2 linked regions of the Xenopus tropicalis genome follow. Each later gene encodes a partner of the first gene's protein in a complex. Links are inferred from orthologs where the notes say so. Each region holds a gene or a part of one and is shown on either strand. Other genes may lie near its edges.

The links. The genes of interacting proteins can lie anywhere in the genome.
Region 2: ik (region 1) and zmat2 share a complex: the UniProt entries of both Homo sapiens proteins name them as parts of the spliceosome B complex. The link is inferred for Xenopus tropicalis from reciprocal best matches to the Homo sapiens genes IK and ZMAT2.

What each region holds. Positions count from the first base shown.
Region 1 is NC_030679.2:22,987,786-22,991,356, reverse strand, and holds part of ik (protein Red), read right to left. Parts: intron 3,339-3,571; coding exon 3,260-3,338; intron 1,434-3,259; coding exon 1,356-1,433; intron 1,163-1,355; coding exon 1,105-1,162; intron 1-1,104. UniProt on the Homo sapiens protein: Involved in pre-mRNA splicing as a component of the spliceosome. Auxiliary spliceosomal protein that regulates selection of alternative splice sites in a small set of target pre-mRNA species. Required for normal mitotic cell cycle progression.
Region 2 is NC_030679.2:26,873,099-26,876,669, forward strand, and holds part of zmat2 (zinc finger matrin-type protein 2), read left to right. Parts: intron 1-1,271; coding exon 1,272-1,395; intron 1,396-3,571. UniProt on the Homo sapiens protein: Involved in pre-mRNA splicing as a component of the spliceosome.

The DNA.
Region 1 (3,571 bases):
GACTGGTAAAGGTGATCACAATGGTCCTCAAACTCACAATTTCAAACAGAAATAGATTGACCCAAATAAAATTTCTCCATAGAGTATACCGGACACCTTATGGACTAGCTAAAATATACCCAGTTACTCCAGATACCTGCTACAAATGTGAAGTAGAGGTGGGTATGCGGTTTCATGTTATTTGGCAATGTGTCCATAAACAATGCTTCTGGAAGGATTACATTTTATACATACTAGGTTTGATCTCCCCAACATATGCTTAATGGGCCATACTAAGCCTCTCACTGTCAAGACGTACCAGAGATTGTTCTATTTGCAAATGCTGTATTATGCCAAAAAAGTAATCCTCTTAACATGGAAAACAACTAGACCTCCAACCCTGGCCCAATGAGAAAAAAAATATTAATTACACCCTTCCTCTGAACAAGGCAGAATACTTGGCTAGAGGATGCCCAGACAAATTTATAAATGTGTGGGGTCAATGGCTGGACTTTTCTGAGATGGCAGCAGGAGTAGATTAAGTGCAGGCATAGGCCCTGTAAGAGACGCAGACTAACCCTCACCTAAGCATACCTGAGTGATAAACTATGTACAACAGCCATAATGGCCCTGCAATACACTGACAAATAATGTGTAAACCATACAGCTGAAATTATACAACTAGCTGAATTAATTTGCTTCACTGTAAGACAACATTCTCTTTGCTTCATTATAACTTTCTTTCTGTATGTTATTAACTTAGAGCATCACAACAGTTTAGGTTCATGAGCCCCAGATCACATTCCCAGTCACAATCACAGTACAACAGCTCTGAGGCACAGCTAGGGAATTCATCTCTTACAATGTCCTAATATACACATTTTAATATCTTAACCTTGTACTTTTGTATATCTGCTAAATGCCTTAAAGTGGCTTTAAGAGGCTTAACAATATAAAATGAGTAAAGATAAAGTTGACTAGTGCACAGGGTTAGGTTGATGTGTTTACAATGTTCTACCAAGCAAGGGTTTCTTAGAAAGATATATACAAAATGATGTGCCAAACACAAATAGCCGCCGCTTTGTTCTAGTTTATAATCTTAATCGTGCATAAGAAAATATTTACCTGGTCCATTTTACTATAATCCACTTCCTCATCACTGTCCACTGCCATGGCATCCATGCTGTTCAGAGAAAGAATTGGGTGCAAGTTATCTACTGCTTACACGATGCTTAATTGATTTCCACAGCACATAGCAAACAGTTGCTGTCCCATTAAAGTTAAATTAAATTTAGTTTTGACAAAGGTGGTGTGCTAGGTAACGAACCTCAGCAACCACAGTCACAGACATTCATCCCAGATAAGCAGAAACTTACGTGGCTGGGTAACATTCAGCGTAGCTGTTCCACATTCCAAAGAAATCTCCCACTTGCGTGTCTTCATGTTTCTTCAATGTGGCCATTTATTAAAGATCAAATAAAACTTATTCTTGTGTGTCAAATTATGAGATTCAAGATAAAAAAATGGCATAAGTGACGACAGTATATGACAATCAGGGAGCTTCTAATATTAAAGGGACAGTATACCCCTAAAAACATCTTTGTTTAAAAATTAAATAGGACTTTTGCTGAAATCCTTCTGCCTATTGTTTAAATAAAAAAAGAAACAATATTTTCCAATTTTTTACCATTATAAAGCACTAATATAAAAGTTAGGCTATTTTTATTGACCTCCTCCTTTGGGTGACTTCTGGGAAACGTAGCAACGTGTATGCTATCCCACTGGCGATTTACATTCTTGCTGGTGGGATGGCATTGCGCTGAGATTAGTCGCCCCTGGCAATGAAGATATGTTGCGGGGTGACTAATCTCCCCGTCTGCCACTGTCCTAAACAGTGGCAGACGGGAAGATTAAGCCAATTGCTTAGAACTCCCTATCAACCTCCCTTCTTTAGGCTACTGAATACGCCAATAGTAGACGAAAAAACGAGGTTCCAAGCACTCCGAACCTTCTAAGTTTAAAACATCATCTTTATTGATCCATCAAGACACAAAAGCCTAACGCGTTTCGTGCGCGTGTGCACTTAATCATAGGCCTATGATTAAGTGCGCACGCGCACGAAACGCGTTAGGCTTTTGTGTCTTGATAGATCAATAAAGATGATGTTTTAAACTTAGAAGGTTCGGAGTGCTTGGAACCTCGTTTTTTCGTCTACTATTGGAACTACTCCCTTGGCTGCGGGTTCGGGGCTTTGAGCACCCGAACCATTTTGGGATCCAGGTGAGTGAATCCTGATTGCTAAATTGATTTCATTGATTTTCGTTTGGCTTATAACACATGTGTCAGGTCCGGGGTCTTTACACCCGGACCTCACCTTTTCACTTGGTAAATTTTTCTGTTTATAGATGTATTGATTTAGCCATTCTTTATTTTATTTTTATATTTTTCTTTTTGATTTTTTTTGGTTTGTCATAGATTAATTGACTTTATCTTTGAATTTGTTTGGTACTGAATACGCCCCCATACTGTAAAATTTAGCCTACCTGTGCCTGCACCTGAATGAATGAAATACGCTCGGGTGCAGACACATGTAGCCGATATCCGCCAAAAAACACGAGACTTCATATTTTCGGCGGATATAGGCTACATGTGCCTGCACCCGAGCGTATTCCATTCATTCAGGTGCAGGCACAGGTAGGAGCGTATGGCGCTATTTTTGGCAAGCGTTTTTCGTCTTGCCTAAAATATACGCCATACGCTAAGGCTGTGGCATTAGGCTTCTCAGTGGACAGATATTTAATTTTTTCAGCATCTTTGAAGTTCTTTGGGACCAGAAATGACAGGAAGTGCTAAAAAGGAACTGGCATTATATGCTAGTTTAATGCTCATGTTATAAAGGGGTGTATACTGTTCTTTTAACAGTGGAATGATTTCCACAGATGTGAACAGGAAGAACTGCAGGACACCCTGCATTGGCAATAATCACCCAAAACTATATGCCATAACTCTAATAGGACAATACTGCTCAAAAGGAAGTTTGATGTTCTTGGGAGAGGGATGATAGTAAAGAATACGCCAGTTATTATTCATTAGCATCTCACTCGGAGTCTGCACACATGAGAATAAAAAAAAGTCTGATATAGTGTAAAGTAATACCAAATATTAAATAAATGTGTTTTTAGTGGATAGAAAAACCTATATTGGACAACATGTCACACTCATTGGCTGCTCATTATATCAATGATACAAACAAAATACTGTTCATTTTTGAAAAGGATATGATTCTACTCCCTCCCATCCAGGAGCACCAGCAAAATTCTCATTGATGGATTTTAGAAGGTCCTTGGTAGATCCAGGTCCTGTAAGGAATGGACAAAAGTTTAGATACAAGGTTTCAGGAGTTACATGTTAAAAAACTTTAGGCGGCCAAATTGGGCAAAGATTGCCAGATTAGCAGATCTAATTGTGTAAGGCAGCGCTGTCCAACTGGCGGCCTGCGACCCCCCTCTGTATGGCCCCCCACCTGTCTGGCTGCTTTGATGGCTTACTCTTGTGTAAGCTTTAAATGGTATCAGTACTGTGATTAACTGCC
Region 2 (3,571 bases), about 3.9 Mb from region 1:
TCACTTATTTAAGTTATAGTTGGCATGAGGTAGACTTGAGTGCACACCTGTAAATGTATGCACCTGGCCTTATCTGCCTGGCCCTTAGCGGTAAATACTTAAAGGGGTTGTTCACCTTTTTAGAATGTAGTAGAGAGTGCTACTCTGAAACAATCTGCATCTGGTCTTCATTTTTTATTTGTAGTTTTTGTAATTATTTAGCTTTATATCCAGCAACTCTCCAGTTTCAAATTCTAGCAGCTATATGGTTTCTAGGGTCCAAATAACCCTAGAAACCAGGCAGTTGTTCAAATGAGAAGCTGGGATACAAATAGGAGAGGGTCTGGATAGAAAGGTATGTAATAAAAAGTAACGCTAACCGTGAAACTAGCCTCAAAGAGCAATATTTTTTTGGCTGCTGGGCTAAGTGACCCCCATTTAAAAGCTATAAAGGGTCAGAAGAGGAAAGCAAATATTAAAAAAAAAATGAAGACCAAATGAAACGTCGCTGAAACTGTATCATACATACTAAAAGTTAACTTAAAATCCATCAGAGAAAAAGGGATTTAATTGGTGTCATATAAATTATCATGTCAGCAGTGCTAAGATTTGTAGTTTAACAAGGGCTTCAGGTTGTATATCCCTGGTATTCCGACGTCCTTTTAATCTTTGATAAACATAAGCATCTGTTTGCTATAATGGGTACTTAACCACAAGCAGTTAGGATCCATTTAGAGCTGTACTACTATGCTTTGCATTTTATTGGTCTCCAGGAGATCATTTGATTTCATAAAATGTCTAGCCTATCAAAGCTTTGACCGCAAAAAAAGCCTATAAGGCCTATGACAGATGGGGTGCTTTACTGTCTGAGAAATCTCTTCTCCTGAAGTGCCTGAAAATACCTGCCCCTCTGCAACTTGAATTGCCAGGTATTTTTGGGAGCTTTGTTACCTGTGGAGAGAAGATTTCCTGCAGGCGATTATTTGCCTTATCTGTCCGTGCTCTAAGGAAAATTTAAAGCAAAACAACAAGTATTGTATGAGTGGCAGTCTTGTACATGGCAGTGCCCACGGCCTGCAGAGAGAAGACATACAGTATTAAATCAAACAGCTCTGAACTGAATTTCCACACAATAAATAGAATACCAATAAGATAAAATAGGGCTGGCTCGGATCTTTGCACATGATTCTTAACAGGTTAATAGCTCAATGGATTTGTGTAGAAAATAAGCAAATTTCATTTATGCAGTGTAAATTATCCACATCAATAAATGCACATATATTGTGTTCTAGGCAAACCTTTACAGCCCATTAAGAGGGAATTACTCCGACACAGAGACTATAAGGTGGATCTGGAGTCCAAGCTGGGAAAGACCATTGTCATTACAAAGACCACTCCACAGTCTGAAATGGGAGGGTAAGTAGCATATAATGTGCTAAGGACAATGTTGACTCAACTATAAATGTAATCACCATTTAAAAGTTGAGGTACAACCAGGTTATGTCTCATTTGTGGTGATGGAGAGTTGGAGTCAACAAATGCACCAGTTTATAGAGCTACTCATGCGCACTCCTATACCTATGCTTGTGCTTTAATAAACTTTCAGTTTCTTTTTACTGATGCAATGTGAGTTGGAATGATATTATATTATACCCCCCCCCAGCAGCATATCAACAAGTGATGTGAGGCTAGACATGTTTTTACTTTCCCTAGTGCCCCCTTGTGATTTGTGCTCTGATGATGAACTTCAGTCACTCTTTAGGGTAAGAACACATGGAGCGAGTTCGTCTTCCATGATAGATCTCTGCTAACATCGGCAACTAACCACTCCGAAAAGGCTTTCCGCCAGCTGAAAGCCCTTTGCATTGCTTTGGTAATCCGAAGTTGCACTAAGTTTCCTCCTGCAGGCGACTTCGAAAAACAAAGCAATGCAAAGGGCTTTCCAGCAGCAACAATAGAAGTTGCTGGTGGAAAGCCTTTTCTGAGTTAGTTAGTCGCCCTAGATAGCAGCGATTTATTGCGGACGATTAACCGTGGGTTCTTACCGTTACTGCTGCTACTGATGCATAAGTAGAAGTGCCATAAAGGTGGACTTTCACTGCTCCATTTTTGTTACTCTGTGTGCTTTTTATTTAATATTATGTGTTTTAGCTGTGTTGGCCACTGGTATGCCAAGTACCCTGTGTATGGCCTAAATAAATGGGAAATATTACTTGCTTCACCTAAGGCGTTCTCCGTAGACACAGAGAGCTACAATATCTATGAGTGTGTATGTTGCTCTGTTCATCTGAAATCTGGTACATTGCTTAAAAGAATACCCAATTGTAAATGTCTCACACCAATATTTAATCAAAGCAAAGCTCTTATGGCTATGTGACCACTACTACACATTTTGGTACACTTCTTATACCCACAGGTCAATAAGGCAAAACCTCAGAAATCTTTATCAGCGATATCTCCTGTATCAATAATTCTCAAAGAAACAAGAAGATAGGTAGAAGAAGATAGATAGGGCTGCACAAAGTAAGAGCAACATAGACTACACTTGTTAGGTAATGTGGTCACATCAGTATTCTCATGTCGGATACCTTCTCTGTGGTGCCTCAGACCCTTATAATTCTCTGGTACAATGGAATCCACTTTTTCTCTCTTGGGGTGGGTAGGGGGAAACAACTGAGAAGGTGTCTGTGCTGTGAGAGTATTGGTGTTCTCTCTTTCAGTTTACTTAACAATGTACTGTTGTTATGGCATGGAAATTACTATTAATTTGTGGTGCTCTAACCATGCACTGCCTCCTGCTCTTGCTCCTTAGAGATTTATTAGTATGCAAAAAACTGCTATGGGAGGAAGTGAGGAGGAGTGCCCCTTGCATTGTTGTACGGTGGATATTCTGCAGATTTTTAAGAATTTTGCTGTAAGAACTGCACTAAAAGTGCAGTAAATGGTAATAGAACATTCTATGCTCGTTAATCTAAGTACCACTTACTATCTACAGAAGTAAATACATGGGAAAGAACTGATAATCGGAAAAAATCCCTTTTATGGATCTCGCTGCACATTGTGAAATCGTCTGGGCTTATCCCTTTATATAGAAATTGCCTTATATTGAAGATCCCATAAATGAACAGCAATGTATGTGCTATAAAACCAATGTAATGGCTTGTTCCATGACATTTCTGTTGATTTATGGGCCTCTGTTGGACAGCCGTTATAGATTGATTGTTTATTATGTACCGTATCATTAAATATCGATTGTGTCAGCCACAGAGTTTTGACAAGCCTTATGCAGGCTTGTGCTCAATAATTTGCATTCCTCTAGTAAAATCCTTTTAAATGACTCTAAAATGGAAATAAATAGAAATCGGAAGCTTAAGCTTGTTAAGTCCGTAAACCCTTGCATTGGAGAGCCCCAATTTTAGTCATGGCCTCTAGAATACAATAAAATTTTTGTTTGTGTAGAATGTGGATTAGACTGCTCAAGGCTTGTGTGCGCTGCATAGTTGGTCTTTAAAACCTGGTGCTTGACTCTACAGTTGACTCCATTACAGTGCATATATTTAAAAAAAATTTAGAGCAACAACTCTGGTTCAAA